3 linked regions of the Saccharomyces cerevisiae S288C genome follow. The gene in region 1 interacts genetically with each later gene. Each region holds a gene or a part of one and is shown on either strand. Other genes may lie near its edges.

Region 1 (6,812 bases):
TCATTATAGTTTTTTCTCCTTGACGTTAAAGTATAGAGGTATATTAACAATTTTTTGTTGATACTTTTATGACATTTGAATAAGAAGTAATACAAACTGAAAATGTTGAAAGTATTAGTTAAAGTGGTTATGCAGCTTTTCCATTTATATATCTGTTAATAGATCAAAAATCATCGCTTCGCTGATTAATTACCCCAGAAATAAGGCTAAAAAACTAATCGCATTATCATCCTATGGTTGTTAATTTGATTCGTTAATTTGAAGGTTTGTGGGGCCAGGTTACTGCCAATTTTTCCTCTTCATAACCATAAAAGCTAGTATTGTAGAATCTTTATTGTTCGGAGCAGTGCGGCGCGAGGCACATCTGCGTTTCAGGAACGCGACCGGTGAAGACGAGGACGCACGGAGGAGAGTCTTCCGTCGGAGGGCTGTCGCCCGCTCGGCGGCTTCTAATCCGTACTTCAATATAGCAATGAGCAGTTAAGCGTATTACTGAAAGTTCCAAAGAGAAGGTTTTTTTAGGCTAAGATAATGGGGCTCTTTACATTTCCACAACATATAAGTAAGATTAGATATGGATATGTATATGGTGGTAATGCCATGTAATATGATTATTAAACTTCTTTGCGTCCATCCAAAAAAAAAGTAAGAATTTTTGAAAATTCAATATAAATGACAGCTCAGTTACAAAGTGAAAGTACTTCTAAAATTGTTTTGGTTACAGGTGGTGCTGGATACATTGGTTCACACACTGTGGTAGAGCTAATTGAGAATGGATATGACTGTGTTGTTGCTGATAACCTGTCGAATTCAACTTATGATTCTGTAGCCAGGTTAGAGGTCTTGACCAAGCATCACATTCCCTTCTATGAGGTTGATTTGTGTGACCGAAAAGGTCTGGAAAAGGTTTTCAAAGAATATAAAATTGATTCGGTAATTCACTTTGCTGGTTTAAAGGCTGTAGGTGAATCTACACAAATCCCGCTGAGATACTATCACAATAACATTTTGGGAACTGTCGTTTTATTAGAGTTAATGCAACAATACAACGTTTCCAAATTTGTTTTTTCATCTTCTGCTACTGTCTATGGTGATGCTACGAGATTCCCAAATATGATTCCTATCCCAGAAGAATGTCCCTTAGGGCCTACTAATCCGTATGGTCATACGAAATACGCCATTGAGAATATCTTGAATGATCTTTACAATAGCGACAAAAAAAGTTGGAAGTTTGCTATCTTGCGTTATTTTAACCCAATTGGCGCACATCCCTCTGGATTAATCGGAGAAGATCCGCTAGGTATACCAAACAATTTGTTGCCATATATGGCTCAAGTAGCTGTTGGTAGGCGCGAGAAGCTTTACATCTTCGGAGACGATTATGATTCCAGAGATGGTACCCCGATCAGGGATTATATCCACGTAGTTGATCTAGCAAAAGGTCATATTGCAGCCCTGCAATACCTAGAGGCCTACAATGAAAATGAAGGTTTGTGTCGTGAGTGGAACTTGGGTTCCGGTAAAGGTTCTACAGTTTTTGAAGTTTATCATGCATTCTGCAAAGCTTCTGGTATTGATCTTCCATACAAAGTTACGGGCAGAAGAGCAGGTGATGTTTTGAACTTGACGGCTAAACCAGATAGGGCCAAACGCGAACTGAAATGGCAGACCGAGTTGCAGGTTGAAGACTCCTGCAAGGATTTATGGAAATGGACTACTGAGAATCCTTTTGGTTACCAGTTAAGGGGTGTCGAGGCCAGATTTTCCGCTGAAGATATGCGTTATGACGCAAGATTTGTGACTATTGGTGCCGGCACCAGATTTCAAGCCACGTTTGCCAATTTGGGCGCCAGCATTGTTGACCTGAAAGTGAACGGACAATCAGTTGTTCTTGGCTATGAAAATGAGGAAGGGTATTTGAATCCTGATAGTGCTTATATAGGCGCCACGATCGGCAGGTATGCTAATCGTATTTCGAAGGGTAAGTTTAGTTTATGCAACAAAGACTATCAGTTAACCGTTAATAACGGCGTTAATGCGAATCATAGTAGTATCGGTTCTTTCCACAGAAAAAGATTTTTGGGACCCATCATTCAAAATCCTTCAAAGGATGTTTTTACCGCCGAGTACATGCTGATAGATAATGAGAAGGACACCGAATTTCCAGGTGATCTATTGGTAACCATACAGTATACTGTGAACGTTGCCCAAAAAAGTTTGGAAATGGTATATAAAGGTAAATTGACTGCTGGTGAAGCGACGCCAATAAATTTAACAAATCATAGTTATTTCAATCTGAACAAGCCATATGGAGACACTATTGAGGGTACGGAGATTATGGTGCGTTCAAAAAAATCTGTTGATGTCGACAAAAACATGATTCCTACGGGTAATATCGTCGATAGAGAAATTGCTACCTTTAACTCTACAAAGCCAACGGTCTTAGGCCCCAAAAATCCCCAGTTTGATTGTTGTTTTGTGGTGGATGAAAATGCTAAGCCAAGTCAAATCAATACTCTAAACAATGAATTGACGCTTATTGTCAAGGCTTTTCATCCCGATTCCAATATTACATTAGAAGTTTTAAGTACAGAGCCAACTTATCAATTTTATACCGGTGATTTCTTGTCTGCTGGTTACGAAGCAAGACAAGGTTTTGCAATTGAGCCTGGTAGATACATTGATGCTATCAATCAAGAGAACTGGAAAGATTGTGTAACCTTGAAAAACGGTGAAACTTACGGGTCCAAGATTGTCTACAGATTTTCCTGATTTGCCAGCTTACTATCCTTCTTGAAAATATGCACTCTATATCTTTTAGTTCTTAATTGCAACACATAGATTTGCTGTATAACGAATTTTATGCTATTTTTTAAATTTGGAGTTCAGTGATAAAAGTGTCACAGCGAATTTCCTCACATGTAGGGACCGAATTGTTTACAAGTTCTCTGTACCACCATGGAGACATCAAAAATTGAAAATCTATGGAAAGATATGGACGGTAGCAACAAGAATATAGCACGAGCCGCGGAGTTCATTTCGTTACTTTTGATATCACTCACAACTATTGCGAAGCGCTTCAGTGAAAAAATCATAAGGAAAAGTTGTAAATATTATTGGTAGTATTCGTTTGGTAAAGTAGAGGGGGTAATTTTTCCCCTTTATTTTGTTCATACATTCTTAAATTGCTTTGCCTCTCCTTTTGGAAAGCTATACTTCGGAGCACTGTTGAGCGAAGGCTCATTAGATATATTTTCTGTCATTTTCCTTAACCCAAAAATAAGGGAAAGGGTCCAAAAAGCGCTCGGACAACTGTTGACCGTGATCCGAAGGACTGGCTATACAGTGTTCACAAAATAGCCAAGCTGAAAATAATGTGTAGCTATGTTCAGTTAGTTTGGCTAGCAAAGATATAAAAGCAGGTCGGAAATATTTATGGGCATTATTATGCAGAGCATCAACATGATAAAAAAAAACAGTTGAATATTCCCTCAAAAATGACTGCTGAAGAATTTGATTTTTCTAGCCATTCCCATAGACGTTACAATCCACTAACCGATTCATGGATCTTAGTTTCTCCACACAGAGCTAAAAGACCTTGGTTAGGTCAACAGGAGGCTGCTTACAAGCCCACAGCTCCATTGTATGATCCAAAATGCTATCTATGTCCTGGTAACAAAAGAGCTACTGGTAACCTAAACCCAAGATATGAATCAACGTATATTTTCCCCAATGATTATGCTGCCGTTAGGCTCGATCAACCTATTTTACCACAGAATGATTCCAATGAGGATAATCTTAAAAATAGGCTGCTTAAAGTGCAATCTGTGAGAGGCAATTGTTTCGTCATATGTTTTAGCCCCAATCATAATCTAACCATTCCACAAATGAAACAATCAGATCTGGTTCATATTGTTAATTCTTGGCAAGCATTGACTGACGATCTCTCCAGAGAAGCAAGAGAAAATCATAAGCCTTTCAAATATGTCCAAATATTTGAAAACAAAGGTACAGCCATGGGTTGTTCCAACTTACATCCACATGGCCAAGCTTGGTGCTTAGAATCCATCCCTAGTGAAGTTTCGCAAGAATTGAAATCTTTTGATAAATATAAACGTGAACACAATACTGATTTGTTTGCCGATTACGTCAAATTAGAATCAAGAGAGAAGTCAAGAGTCGTAGTGGAGAATGAATCCTTTATTGTTGTTGTTCCATACTGGGCCATCTGGCCATTTGAGACCTTGGTCATTTCAAAGAAGAAGCTTGCCTCAATTAGCCAATTTAACCAAATGGTGAAGGAGGACCTCGCCTCGATTTTAAAGCAACTAACTATTAAGTATGATAATTTATTTGAAACGAGTTTCCCATACTCAATGGGTATCCATCAGGCTCCTTTGAATGCGACTGGTGATGAATTGAGTAATAGTTGGTTTCACATGCATTTCTACCCACCTTTACTGAGATCAGCTACTGTTCGGAAATTCTTGGTTGGTTTTGAATTGTTAGGTGAGCCTCAAAGAGATTTAACTTCGGAACAAGCTGCTGAAAAACTAAGAAATTTAGATGGTCAGATTCATTATCTACAAAGACTGTAAAAAGAAAGTGGAATATTCATTCATATCATATTTTTTCTATTAACTGCCTGGTTTCTTTTAAATTTTTTATTGGTTGTCGACTTGAACGGAGTGACAATATATATATATATATATTTAATAATGACATCATTATCTGTAAATCTGATTCTTAATGCTATTCTAGTTATGTAAGAGTGGTCCTTTCCATAAAAAAAAAAAAAAAGAAAAAAGAATTTTAGGAATACAATGCAGCTTGTAAGTAAAATCTGGAATATTCATATCGCCACAACTTCTTATGCTTATAAAAGCACTAATGCCTGAATTTATGTTGAAAATATGTGTCACAAATAAAGAAACTGTGACATCTGACACATTTCCACTTTATTGACAAGAATAGAATTTCTTTAAGTTTCCCCTCTAGATTATTTATTTTCAAATTTTAGGCTCTGTTGAAGTTTATTACGTAGAAATTCCTACGATAGTTATTAGTCCTAATTGGATGTTGCAGCAAGGCTCATTGTCGGTGTCGTTATCGATGGAAATCCTGCACCTATGTTATTACCCTCTTTTCGTAGTTTTCTGATCCGGGTTATAGAGTTTTGCTTAAAAAAAGGTTATGTTTAAAAGTATGAAAAACTTTTCAGTATTAATTATGCAGAAGAGCAGTGAATAGTAATAATACATATCAGAATATTCCGCAGTCTTTGGTTTTCAGAATTGTTAGCAGTAGTTAAGTGAATAAAGATGGCATCGACATGGAAGCCCGCCGAAGACTATGTGTTGCAACTAGCAACTCTTTTACAGAACTGTATGTCACCAAATCCAGAGATTCGTAATAACGCAATGGAAGCTATGGAGAACTTCCAGCTGCAACCTGAATTTCTCAATTATTTGTGTTATATTTTAATTGAAGGCGAATCTGATGATGTATTGAAGCAACACTACTCCCTACAGGATCTTCAGAACAATAGAGCTACCGCCGGTATGCTGTTGAAAAATTCAATGCTAGGGGGAAACAATTTAATTAAGAGCAATAGCCACGACTTAGGATACGTCAAATCAAACATTATACATGGCCTTTATAATTCGAACAATAATCTCGTTTCGAACGTGACAGGTATCGTTATTACTACTTTATTTTCCACTTACTATAGGCAGCATAGAGATGATCCAACTGGTCTTCAAATGCTTTACCAGTTGCTAGAGCTAACCTCAAATGGAAATGAGCCAAGTATTAAGGCTTTATCTAAGATCATGGAAGACAGCGCTCAATTTTTCCAATTGGAATGGTCGGGAAATACGAAGCCTATGGAAGCCTTATTGGATAGTTTTTTTAGGTTTATTTCGAATCCAAATTTCTCACCTGTGATTCGCTCAGAATCGGTGAAATGTATAAATACAGTGATCCCGCTACAAACACAAAGTTTTATTGTGAGATTAGATAAATTCTTAGAAATTATTTTTCAGTTGGCACAAAACGACGAAAACGACCTAGTTAGGGCACAGATTTGCATTAGTTTTAGTTTCTTATTGGAATTCAGACCAGATAAGCTGGTTTCCCATTTAGATGGTATTGTACAATTCATGTTGCATTTGATCACCACTGTAAATGAGGAAAAAGTGGCTATTGAAGCCTGCGAGTTTTTGCACGCCTTTGCAACGAGCCCAAATATTCCTGAACATATCTTACAACCATATGTTAAGGATATCGTGCCAATATTATTATCGAAAATGGTCTATAACGAAGAATCCATCGTTCTCCTGGAAGCTTCTAATGATGATGATGCATTCTTGGAGGATAAAGATGAGGACATCAAGCCCATTGCACCCCGTATTGTGAAAAAGAAAGAGGCAGGAAATGGAGAGGATGCAGATGACAACGAAGATGATGATGATGATGATGATGATGAAGATGGCGATGTTGATACGCAATGGAATTTGAGAAAATGTTCCGCGGCAACGCTAGATGTAATGACGAATATTTTACCTCATCAAGTGATGGATATAGCGTTCCCATTTTTAAGAGAACATTTGGGTTCTGATAGGTGGTTTATTAGAGAAGCTACTATATTAGCACTGGGGGCCATGGCAGAAGGTGGAATGAAGTATTTTAATGATGGCTTACCAGCACTAATACCATTTTTAGTGGAACAATTGAACGATAAGTGGGCACCAGTGAGGAAAATGACATGTTGGACATTAAGTAGGTTTTCACCATGGATATTACAAGACCAT
Region 2 (6,374 bases), on another chromosome or scaffold:
TTTACCGTTTTCAAGAGTGAAACGTGATCGTGTTTATACTTTTTCGACTCAAATTTGTCCTTATCTTTAGTTAATACGGTCTAACTTGCCACGCTACTCAAGAAATGACCTCGATTCAGGAGCGAGGCACAAGCGCTCATCTGCATTCGCTTAAAGAAGGTGAGGCTAGTGATCGTTCCAGCGAGATGCTTCCTAAACAAAGAAGTATCATAGGATCCCACGTGCAACGTCCACCGTCTCAAACAACTTTAGGAAGGTCAAGGGCTGGAAGCAATACAATGAATAAAGTTTCAGGCTTAGATATTGCTCGAAGACCAAGTGAGAATTTATTATCAAACATGAACTGTAGCGACAACGGCAATGGGGGAAATATGCTAAATTCATTCGTTAACTCGGCTTTACCACCGCCAAAAGTCAACCCTGCTCAAACAAGACGTGAACGTCCCGCTTCAAATAGCTCAATAGGTACCAAGACTACCGAGGTATTTTCATCCACTTCTGCATCTTCCTCCTTGGGAGATACCAGCGATGAGGGAGAAGGCAGTGATGCCGACAAATCTAAAATAAATACTTTTCCCAGCATATTGATGGAAAAGGCTACTCAAGGTAGAGGCGCTGATGGAAATGGAATGAGAAGCGCAAGCAATAATACCATTGTGGAAGCAACTACGGACGGTTCCAAAATGGCACTGCAAAAAAGCATGTCGTTTGATGATACAGCCGCAGAGAAAACTATGAATAAATCTAGACATTCTTACCAAGAACAGTTCTCCTCGAAGAAAAGCCAGTCATCTTTACTGAACAGCAAGCAAAGATCACGTGCTAAATCGCAAACATGCTCGTCTACGGGTTATAACAACAGCAGCATTCTGAAAACGTTTGGCATAAGCTCCAAAATTTCTAATTCAAGTGATCGGATAGAGGCTTCGTCATTAGAATTTAACGTTCCATCTCAGAAACCTTTGAATTGCAAGCCATTAACTCCGTCTCAGAAATACAGACTTCGTAAAGAGCAATCGGAGATGAATTTAAGAAATACAATCAAAAGAAAAGAGAAATTTTATGATAGTCAAGAACAAATTCTTGAGTTACAAGAGGGAGACGTTGATGATTCGTTGATTTGGAACGTTCCTATGGCATCATTATCTACTAATTCATTTCTAGCGTCTGCTAAGCCCGATGATATGAATAACTTGGCTGGCAAGAATGACTTATCAGAATATACCGGAGGTTTGGTAAATGATAACTCTGAAATTTCTTATACAAAACAAAATCATAGGTACTCGAACATCTCTTTTGCGAGTACAACATCAAACGCCTCATTATTGGACTTTAATGAGATGCCTACGTCTCCGATTCCAGGTTTGAACAAAGTAACTGATTTTCAGTTCATTCAAGACACAACCAAGAGTCTAGCCTCTGTTTATTTGCATTCTTCCAATAGGCTTTCAAGATCTAAGCTGTCCGAAAGAACAAAGTCTTCCGATTTCTTGCCAATTGAACTAAAAGAAGCTCAAAATCAAGGCATGGAAGATTTGATACTTGTCTCGGAGAACAAACTAGATGTGGTCAGCCATTCAAGACCGAGTTGGTTACCACCCAAGGATCGCCAGGAAAAAAAGCTTCATGAAAGGCAAATTAACAAAAGCATGAGTGTTGCTTCCCTTGACCAACTAGGAAAAAATAAAGACAGAGAAGAAAAGTTGATTAGAGATGAAACAAATAGGCAAAAATATGTGTTATTATTGGACAGAGATATAACTAGAAACTCCTCCTTACAAAGCCTAAGTAAAATGGTTTGGGACACTCCATTTAGTGACGAAACTAGGTCAACAATTTACAGCGAAATTTTACAGAGCAAGACTAGGTTTATTACCAAAAACTATATTCAACCATTTCATGAGCTACAGGAGCTTTTAACAAAAATGGGAGACTTTCCTAAAAACAAGGAAATTGAAATATCGCAGCTAATCGAAACAAGTTTGAGGCGAAAAGTGAGCGGTTTACATGATATATGTCCTGATTTGATGCTTTTATTGAAGATAAAATCTATCTCATCACAGGGTATAGTCACCGGTGATGAACTCCTTTTCCATCATTTCTTGGTGAGTGAATCATTTCAGAACCTGGGGCTAAACGAGATTTGGAATATTGTTAATTTAGTACAAATGACGTGTTTTAATGATCTTTGTAAAGAAAAGTTCGATGCAAAGGTTTTAGAACGTAAGGGTGTCGTAGCCGGTTATTTATCGCAAAACGAGGAGTTCAAGGATGAATTTAATACGGAGTGTATAAACTCTACCACCTGGTGGAACATCCTAGAACGTATTGATCATAAGCTTTTTATGTGGATCATGGATATTATAGTAGTCAACAATTCCCAGAGCTACAAAAATAGCCCAATCAACGAAGATGAGTTTGTTAACAAGGATTGGGAATATTACCGCTCGAAGAAAGTGGTAATAAACTACAAGATCTTGATTTCATTTGCATTAAATGTATTGTTAAATTACCACTTTGGATTCACTGATTTAAGAAGTCTTTGTAACGTGAATGACCAGAGATTTTGCATTCCAGTATTCATCAATGATGAATTCGTAGACGCAGATACTGTAAATGCCGTGTTCATCAAGAAATGGGCGCATTACTACAAGAAGTTTTGATATTTTTTGTAACTGTAATTTCACTCATGCACAAGAAAAAAAAAACTGGATTAAAAGGGAGCCCAAGGAAAACTCCTCAGCATATATTTAGAAGTCTCCTCAGCATATAGTTGTTTGTTTTCTTTACACATTCACTGTTTAATAAAACTTTTATAATATTTCATTATCGGAACTCTAGATTCTATACTTGTTTCCCAATTGTTGCTGGTAGTAAACGTATACGTCATAAAAGGGAAAAGCCACATGCGGAAGAATTTTATGGAAAAAAAAAAAACCTCGAAGTTACTACTTCTAGGGGGCCTATCAAGTAAATTACTCCTGGTACACTGAAGTATATAAGGGATATAGAAGCAAATAGTTGTCAGTGCAATCCTTCAAGACGATTGGGAAAATACTGTAATATAAATCGTAAAGGAAAATTGGAAATTTTTTAAAGATGTCTTCACTGGTTACTCTTAATAACGGTCTGAAAATGCCCCTAGTCGGCTTAGGGTGCTGGAAAATTGACAAAAAAGTCTGTGCGAATCAAATTTATGAAGCTATCAAATTAGGCTACCGTTTATTCGATGGTGCTTGCGACTACGGCAACGAAAAGGAAGTTGGTGAAGGTATCAGGAAAGCCATCTCCGAAGGTCTTGTTTCTAGAAAGGATATATTTGTTGTTTCAAAGTTATGGAACAATTTTCACCATCCTGATCATGTAAAATTAGCTTTAAAGAAGACCTTAAGCGATATGGGACTTGATTATTTAGACCTGTATTATATTCACTTCCCAATCGCCTTCAAATATGTTCCATTTGAAGAGAAATACCCTCCAGGATTCTATACGGGCGCAGATGACGAGAAGAAAGGTCACATCACCGAAGCACATGTACCAATCATAGATACGTACCGGGCTCTGGAAGAATGTGTTGATGAAGGCTTGATTAAGTCTATTGGTGTTTCCAACTTTCAGGGAAGCTTGATTCAAGATTTATTACGTGGTTGTAGAATCAAGCCCGTGGCTTTGCAAATTGAACACCATCCTTATTTGACTCAAGAACACCTAGTTGAGTTTTGTAAATTACACGATATCCAAGTAGTTGCTTACTCCTCCTTCGGTCCTCAATCATTCATTGAGATGGACTTACAGTTGGCAAAAACCACGCCAACTCTGTTCGAGAATGATGTAATCAAGAAGGTCTCACAAAACCATCCAGGCAGTACCACTTCCCAAGTATTGCTTAGATGGGCAACTCAGAGAGGCATTGCCGTCATTCCAAAATCTTCCAAGAAGGAAAGGTTACTTGGCAACCTAGAAATCGAAAAAAAGTTCACTTTAACGGAGCAAGAATTGAAGGATATTTCTGCACTAAATGCCAACATCAGATTTAATGATCCATGGACCTGGTTGGATGGTAAATTCCCCACTTTTGCCTGATCCAGCCAGTAAAATCCATACTCAACGACGATATGAACAAATTTCCCTCATTCCGATGCTGTATATGTGTATAAATTTTTACATGCTCTTCTGTTTAGACACAGAACAGCTTTAAATAAAATGTTGGATATACTTTTTCTGCCTGTGGTGTCATCCACGCTTTTAATTCATCTCTTGTATGGTTGACAATTTGGCTATTTTTTAACAGAACCCAACGGTAATTGAAATTAAAAGGGAAACGAGTGGGGGCGATGAGTGAGTGATACTAAAATAGACACCAAGAGAGCAAAGCGGTCCCAAAATCATTTGAGTAACCGGATATCTATCGGGATATTAATAGCAGCTTCCATTTCAACTAAAACAACAGCAAGATATGAGCGACAAGATATCCTTTCTACCTCCCGAACCCATCCAACTACTTGACGAAGACTCCACGGAGCCTGAACTCGACATTGACTCACAACAAGAAAATGAGGGACCCATCAGTGCGTCAAACAGCAATGATAGCACTAGCCATAGTAATGATTGCGGTGCCACAATTACCAGAACAAGACCTAGACGAAGCAGTTCTATCAATGCAAACTTTAGTTTTCAAAAGGCTCATGTCAGCGATTGCACCATAGTCAATGGCGACCATGGAACAAAGTTTGCTGTCTGGAGAATTACCGTATTTCTTGAACCCAACTTGAAGGCTTTTGCGGCCAAGAGGGAAAGCTATAAAATCCAAACCTATAAACGATACTCCGATTTCGTCAGATTACGAGAGAATTTGCTCACAAGAATCAAGACAGCGAAACCTGAGAAACTTAACTGTTTGCAGATTCCACACCTTCCCCCTTCAGTGCAGTGGTACAGTTCTTGGAAATATCAAGAAGTGAATCTGAACAAGGACTGGCTGGCAAAAAGACAGAGAGGGCTCGAGTACTTCCTCAATCACATCATCCTTAACAGCAGCCTCGTAGAAATGACCAAAGATATACTCATACAGTTTCTAGAGCCTTCAAAACGAGTTGCATAGCTCACCATCCCTATCCAACCGACTATTCTTCTCATCGACTACTACTATCCCATTTAACTCGGGCGCGTTGTTAATTAATCACTCGATGGGGAATGCCTTGAGCTGACCGCAATGAAAACTTTTAGGGGATCGTCCAACATTAAAGGAAGAACGAAACGGACTCCACAGTTTCTAATATAAATAAACAATGATAAAACATATAGTTTCGCCATTCAGGACGAATTTTGTTGGCATCAGCAAGTCCGTGCTGTCAAGGATGATTCATCACAAGGTTACAATCATAGGTTCTGGCCCCGCTGCCCACACCGCTGCTATATACTTGGCAAGAGCAGAGATGAAGCCCACATTATATGAGGGAATGATGGCCAACGGAATTGCTGCTGGTGGCCAATTGACAACAACCACCGATATCGAAAATTTCCCAGGGTTTCCTGAATCGTTGAGTGGCAGTGAACTGATGGAGAGGATGAGGAAACAATCTGCCAAGTTTGGCACTAACATAATTACCGAGACTGTCTCTAAAGTCGATTTATCTTCAAAACCATTCAGATTATGGACCGAATTTAATGAGGATGCAGAGCCTGTGACCACTGATGCTATAATCTTGGCCACGGGTGCTTCCGCTAAGAGAATGCATTTACCAGGGGAGGAAACCTACTGGCAGCAGGGAATATCTGCCTGTGCTGTATGTGATGGTGCAGTCCCTATCTTTAGAAACAAGCCATTGGCCGTTATTGGTGGTGGTGACTCTGCGTGTGAGGAAGCGGAATTTCTTACGAAGTATGCGTCGAAAGTATATATATTAGTAAGAAAGGATCATTTTCGTGCATCTGTAATAATGCAGAGACGAATTGAGAAAAATCCAAACATCATTGTTTTGTTCAACACAGTTGCATTAGAAGCTAAGGGTGATGGTAAGTTATTGAATATGTTGAGAATTAAGAATACTAAAAGTAATGTGGAGAACGATTTAGAAGTAAATGGACTATTTTACGCAATAGGTCACAGCCCTGCCACAGATATAGTTAAAGGACAAGTAGATGAAGAAGAGACGGGGTATATAAAAACTGTGCCTGGATCGTCTCTGACTTCTGTGCCAGGTTTTTTTGCTGCAGGTGACGTTCAGGACTCTAGGTATAGACAAGCAGTTACTTCTGCTGGTTCCGGATGCATTGCTGCTTTGGATGCAGAACGGTACCTAAGTGCCCAAGAGTAACGTGAAAAAACCGGTTTATTTTTGTTTTTACTGTTCGATTGTGTTACGTATTCTATG
Region 3 (6,823 bases), on another chromosome or scaffold:
AAGAAGAAAATAAGTTGCCCAGGAAATTAGAAGCCTGTAGATTAAAATATGCTTTGGCTTCAGAACTCTGGCCATTTCTCCGTGCAACTTACCATATAATGACAGTTGTAAAACGGTTAACAAAATACAATAAATCAGACCGACCTGCAGAGGGGCCATTAGAATACGATCAGCAAAGGGACGATAATCGTTGTAGGTGAACAACAACTGTCCTGCAATCGCCCAGTTCTCCATGTTTATATTAAGATCTCTGTCATTAGAAGTGATGTTGCTCATCAATGAGGGAAGATATTCCTTGACGTAATATTTCTGAAGGCGGACCTCCAATTGTTGCATGAGTGGTAGAATGGTCGATTTAACACTCGATGGGTCACGACCACTTTCAAACACGGATTCAAAAAAAATTGATGAATTGAACTCCGAGTTTGCGTCTTGGCTAATCAAAGAATTATACAAAGTGTCTGTAGCATTAGGTTTAACGTTTAACGCCAGCCAGTATCTCTCATCGTAAATTAAATCGACTATCTTTCTGTCAATTTCGGTGGAGTTCGTCGTACCAAATTTCCTATGAAATGATGTTGCGTTGTATATATGCCATGTCCCGGGGACAGACGCTAACAATGAGGGTATGATCGCGGAAATAGATTGAACTGAAGTATTAGATGGCGCATCCTGCAATACAACAATATTTTTCACTTTGAAAAAGTAACGATCTGTTCCGTAACAGGCACCCCAGTAAATCGATATGAGCGATACACACACACAAGCAATGAAGAAGTTGTTCAAAACAAACTTCGAGAGAATCTTTTTCCTATGATTTCGCAGTCTTGGAGAAAAAAGCCCTGTTTGAATTCTTGCCAAGGGACCGCCGTCGTTACCGCCCTTCTCTTCCTCATTAGCGCCACCTTCCCCCACAGATGACAATGAGGACGGCTTTTCATCAGGAGGCCGATAGTCTTCTAATGACTTTGCTAAGTCAGAAGAATGGCCGGAACCCTCAGCAAATCGCTGATTACTGTACGAAACCCCGTCCCTGCCGCCAGTAAATGCAGCTGCTGCTGCAAAACTAGGGTCCTCAATGTACTGTGACTCTTCATCACCAACCGATTTAGTCATATTTGTTCTCTGTACGGCTACTTACACTTATGTCAGTACCCGATTCTTACGGCGTATAAAAGATTAAAGAAACAGGATATGTGGCTTGATATATACAAAAAAAAAGAACGATATGGAGTACACTATGTATCTCTCAACAATGCTAAGATATGAAGACGCTTATTGACTACGCCAGTCCGTTTTCCATTCCCTTCTTCGAATAGGGTGGCCCGTTGATGACAAAGCTGCGAGTCATCTATCATCAAACAAACTCACGGCTTTCGCTTTTCTTTAGTCTATTTCGGATTGTACCACCTCCTCGGACATTCATAAAAGGATTCGAAAACGAATAACCACGCATATACACGGAAATAGGAGAAAACTAAACGGGAATCGGTTTATTTTTTTCTCAACATTTCTTTTTCCTGATTTTCCATCCTTTTCGAGATCCACCTATTGTGGTGAAAAATAACGAAAATATGTGCTTTAGGTGTGCAAGGCATAATGTGTGGCATACTGGAAGGAACAAGTTGAACACGCCAGCTGGAAAGAAGTTCAATACCAACTTGCCCAATGCCTAACTCAAATGTTCGGATTCCTCCTACTGTTCCATCGAAGATAATAGATGTGGTCGACCAAGCGCTAAGAGCGCGACTCTTAGGTGGCAGCACCTTCAATTCAGGGTTTGATAGTTTAGATTCCGTACTTAACTTACAGTTTAGACTACATTACCATGTTATTGGATCGAATGGGCCTGCAAAACCAGTTTGTGATGTTTTACTGAAGGAAAGTCAAAATTTAGAAAAGAATATGAGTATGATGGAGGAGTTGAATGACTATCCGGAGATTACAAAACTAGTGGAGAAAATTCTGTTCAATTGCCTCGGTATTCTTTTCTTCCACAGGGGCCAATTTCAGGAATCGCAGCGGTGCTTGCTGCACTCGTTGAAAATTCATAATAACACTGCATCGCAAAAAACAGCACTTATGGAGCAGTATGATAGGTATTTGATCGTAGAAAACCTGTACTACCGTGGTCTAGTTTCGCAAGACATAAATATCATGCAAAATGTTTTTTACAAAGAACTACTGGCCCACGTGGATACGATCCCTCCCGAATCAAACGGTCTTCTTTTCGAATACATCAGCTTGATCGTCGCAAAACTCAGGTTCAATCAAATTCAGGATTTAGCAGAAAATTTTAAAACTACCGTCGAAAATCCTTTTATTCTTTTCCTTTACATGATAAAGAAGTTCCAGTCACCTCTCAAAAAGCACATTGATAATGATGATCTTTATTTGAAGTTCGGACAGAACGTTTTGTTGAAGGCCAAATTTCCTACTGCTAGTGAGACAAATGATGAAGCTTTGGAGCATTTTAATGTCTTTTTGCAGTATTATTTCAAATTCACTCACATAAAAAAAATAAAAGTGAATCCCAGTTGGTATAATTTCATAATATCTTCAATGGAAAAGACTTTTCAAAGTATTGAAGTTTCGAAAACAGCAATGTTTCTTTTCCAAAACCTAAGCGATAACAGTAATGACGAAATAAAGAAGAAGACATTTAAAAGAGAATCTATACTAAATTTTGTTAATTTTGTGAAATACAACGACAAGTACTATCAACTGCACGATAACTCCCACCGTGACATAATTTCATTCATTGATGCGTATTCTTTTATTTTACAAAACTCCTCCAAAACCGATTCAATCGAAAATGTTTTTGATTACGATAATACGGTATCTACGTTTGCGACTTCCTTGAATTCCTTCTACAAAGAATATAATTTGCCATTAATGAGCCAATCAGAATCTTTAGATTGGCTAGAAAACAGCACCAGATGTGTATACCCAGGAAACATTTCGAAAGTTCTAACAAATGCGTGGTCAACATTGTACGAAATCAGAAAATATCAGTTAGATTTTCTTGTATCTAATAATTTGACTTCATATCTATGTAATGCAATGATGCTGTCCACAAAAGAAAAAGACAATGCTGATGTAGAAGAGCAGGAAGAAGGAGAGGAGGAGAAGGCATTACGTGAATTACAATTTAAATATTCTTACACTCTAGCACAACAGAGGCACATTGAAACTGCAATCAAGACTCTAGAATCATTGATATTAAGTAAAAACCCAAATTACTACAAAGCTTGGCATCTATTAGCTCTTTGTAGGTCTGTGCAAGAGGATAAGGAAATGTCGTACAAGATAGTTTGCTCTGTTCTAGAAGCTATGAATGAAAGTCTTCAGAACAATACTTTACTTCTGAATGATAGATGGCAATTTATTCACCTAAAATTAACGCAATTGGCGCTAATTGAAGAAATTTTTGGCACTTTAGAGGCACTGGAGACACTTCCAGAGGTCTTTGAATTATACGCAACATTATTTCCAGATTCACAACCTGAATTGAACAGCATGGGTCCCAAATATTCTCAAACTAAAGAATATCTTTTACAAATGGTGTGGATTTTTGCTGCAAATATGTACATGAGAACAAAAGACAATGATGAGGATGCCAAGGCCGCCATCAAAGAAGCCTCCAATGTCGAAAGTAAATTCAAGAATTTAAATTGTAATATTGCTAACGGTTATTTATCAATAATAAAAGATGAACCAGGCGTGGCATTAAAGGAATTTGAAACAGTTCTGTACTATGATGAGAATAATTTAGATGCCTTGGTCGGATTCGCTGAATTAATTTTCCCTGAAGAACTAGGCGTCGAGGAAACTAATCTTGAGCGTTATTATACTCTCAGCCTTGATAAAAAACCAGGTAAGAGGGCCAAACTTACGTTCGTTAATGACACAGATAGGTCAGCAGCGTATGCAAGACTAAAATTTCTATTGGAGTGCGCAATACTAGAATCGATCGAGGCTTACTATTCCCCAGAAGTTTGGTGGTATTTGTCCCTCATTTACGAGAAATATCAAGATGACGAGTACAAAAACTCTTTGCTAAAATGTATTAAATACCAAGAGTTGAATCCCATTCGCTCCCTAAGGTATTGCAATTACTAACGATAATTCTTCTGATATATACACACACATATATACATATGGGCGCAAGTATATTCTGGTGTAAAGATACTCATAGAAAGCATAAAGATGTAATTCAATCTAGTTGTATTATATTATTCATTGATTTATATTAATTTGATGAACAATGGAACATCTTCTCTTCAATAACGGTTTTGCCCATATACTTGACGTTATTAGGTTACCCGTTTTTATAAATGTAATAAGTTCAATAATTTGAAAAGAGCATTAGCTATAGTCACGTTTCGCGTTGAAACAATTCTTTAAATTATCTTCTCTTGGCAGTTTAATATACCAAACGATAGTCCTAACATACTGTTTTTCTTATTATTTACCAATGAGTAAAGCCAAGGGAACGGGATTTTCATCAATTGATACTGAAGATGAAAACTTACGCGAACGTTATGTTAATCAACCAAAAGCTAATGCCTCCGATATTCAAGATGAACAATTAGATTGCTTTGAGCAACTAGAAGAAAAACATAGGACAAAAAAAAATGAAGAATACACTGCGTTGAAAATTTTAAGGGATGTCATAGGTCCCCTTTTATTAACTATAACTTCGTTTTATCTAAGATTCCAACATATAGATCAGAACAATTATGTTGTCTGGGATGAGGCTCATTTTGGGAAATTCGGATCATACTACATCAAACATGAGTACTACCACGATGTCCACCCTCCACTTGGTAAAATGCTTATTGCATTGAGCGAATGGATGGCAGGATTTGACGGTCAATTTGACTTTTCCTCTAATAATGCATATCCGGAAAACGTAAACTTTAAACTAATGAGACAATTTAATGCCACATTTGGAGCTCTATGTACACCAGTAGCTTTCTTTACAGCCAAATGGATGGGGTTCAATTATTTTACTGTTTATTTGATTGCTACGATGGTAACGTTGGAACATTCATATATTGTCCTCTCAAAATTCATATTGCTAGATTCAATGCTGCTTTTTTTCTCGATGACGACTTTTGCCTGTATGATAAAGTTGTATACGTTGAGAAAGCAACAAATGACGAAAAAATGGTCGTTATGGATGTTATTAACTGGTTTATCTATTGGTTGCGTTTGTTCTGTGAAATGGGTTGGTCTTTTTATCACAGTTGTAGTCGGCCTCTACACATGTATAGAACTATTTTTGCTCTATTGTGATAAAGAATTGCCTAGAATAAAATATTACAAACATTGGCTTATCAGAATCATTAATCTGATAGTAATTCCTTTTCTTATCTATCTCTATTGCTTCAAAATTCACTTTGTGTTGTTGTACAAATCTGGCACGGGGGATTCTACTACAAATACGTTATTTCAGATAAACTTGGAGGGAACTCAGATTGAGGCGGGTCCTCGTGATGTAGCATTTGGGTCAGAGTTAACCATAAGGTCGCATGGTTTAAGCCCGAATCTGCTGCATTCACATATTCAAGTATACCCAGAAGGCTCTGGACAGCGCCAAATCACTGGATATGGATTCGCAGACTCTAATAATGTTTGGAAGTTTGAATTTTCTAGGTCTTCTGGATTGGAACTAGATCAGAACGGGACTTTGAATGGCAAAATAATCCCAATAACGGATGGTGTGGAAGTTCGTCTCAGCCATAAAAATACAGGATCGAATCTTCACTCGCATGATGTACCTTCTCACGTCTCTAGAGGAAATTATGAGGTTTCAGGCTATGGGTCACAAAGTGTTGGCGATGAAAAGGATGATTGGATAGTGGAGATTGTGAAACAAATGGATTCACCAAATCCCGTCTATTCTAATGAGAATTCAACTATTTTACATCCAGTTTCTACTTTCTTCAGGTTGAGACACAAAGTTTTAGGTTGTTACTTGGCTTCTACTGGATTGACGTATCCAGCTTGGGGATTTAAACAAGCTGAAATCGTCTGCAAAGACTCCTGGAGTCGTAGGGACAAATCGACCTGGTGGAATGTAGAAGATCACTGGAACCACAATTTAGAAACCGCAGAAGATTACGTTCCACCAAAATCCAATTTTTGGACCGATTTTATTCTAACTAATTTTGCCATGGCCTCCTCTAATAACGCGTTAGTGCCTGATGAGGATAAATATGATAGTTTATCGTCTGATGCATGGGAATGGCCAACCTTGCATAAAGGGCTAAGAATGTGTTCATGGGCGGGATATATCACTCGATATTACTTGATGGGATCTCCCTTCAATACATGGATTTCTACTGTCTCCTTAATCATCTTCCCATTTATTATTCTTTTTATATTATATCGTTGGAGGAGACAAACGCTTTATCTCTCAGACGATCAAATCTGGCAAATAACGATACAGGGTATTTTTCCTTTCATTTCCTGGATGACACATTATCTGCCTTTTGCAATGATGGGGAGAGTGACGTATGTACATCACTACGTTCCCGCTTTATATTTTGCAATGCTTGTTTTCGGATTTGTGCTTGATTTCACTTTGACAAGAGTCCATTGGATGGTCAAATATCCCATCTATTTGTCATTGTTTGGCGGATGTATATACATTTATAATTTATTTGCTCCAATATGTCAGGGTATGCATGGTGATAAAGCGGAATACTTACCTTTGCAGTGGTTATCTACTTGGGATATCGCACCTTAGTAAAAAAAAAAAAAACTCCAACTCCTTTACACAGAATCACGAAAATTGTAAATAATAATGCCAAAT

What was found.
Region 2: of GAL7 (region 1) and GRE3, extra expression of one rescues a mutant of the other (dosage rescue), as found in Saccharomyces cerevisiae (one study listed by BioGRID).
Region 3: mutations in GAL7 (region 1) and PMT6 together harm fitness more than expected from each alone (negative genetic interaction), as found in Saccharomyces cerevisiae (2 studies listed by BioGRID).

The regions. Positions count from the first base shown.
Region 1 is NC_001134.8:272,213-279,024, reverse strand, and holds GAL7 (UDP-glucose:hexose-1-phosphate uridylyltransferase), read left to right. Parts: upstream 1-3,497; coding exon 3,498-4,598; downstream 4,599-6,812. Other genes in the region: GAL1 (galactokinase), read right to left, coding at 1-4; GAL10 (bifunctional UDP-glucose 4-epimerase/aldose 1-epimerase), read left to right, coding at 673-2,772; KAP104 (Kap104p), read left to right, coding at 5,322-6,812.
Region 2 is NC_001140.6:320,310-326,683, forward strand, and holds GRE3 (trifunctional aldehyde reductase/xylose reductase/glucose 1-dehydrogenase (NADP(+))), read left to right. Parts: upstream 1-3,099; coding exon 3,100-4,083; downstream 4,084-6,374. Other genes in the region: SBE22 (Sbe22p), read left to right, coding at 105-2,663; YPT35 (Ypt35p), read left to right, coding at 4,457-5,101; thioredoxin-disulfide reductase TRR2, read left to right, coding at 5,289-6,317. UniProt on the Saccharomyces cerevisiae protein: Aldose reductase with a broad substrate specificity. Reduces the cytotoxic compound methylglyoxal (MG) to acetol and (R)-lactaldehyde under stress conditions.
Region 3 is NC_001139.9:893,025-899,847, forward strand, and holds PMT6 (dolichyl-phosphate-mannose-protein mannosyltransferase PMT6), read left to right. Parts: upstream 1-4,477; coding exon 4,478-6,757; downstream 6,758-6,823. Other genes in the region: SNG1 (Sng1p), read right to left, coding at 1-1,116; YPP1 (Ypp1p), read left to right, coding at 1,669-4,122. UniProt on the Saccharomyces cerevisiae protein: Protein O-mannosyltransferase involved in O-glycosylation which is essential for cell wall rigidity. Transfers mannose from Dol-P-mannose to Ser or Thr residues on proteins.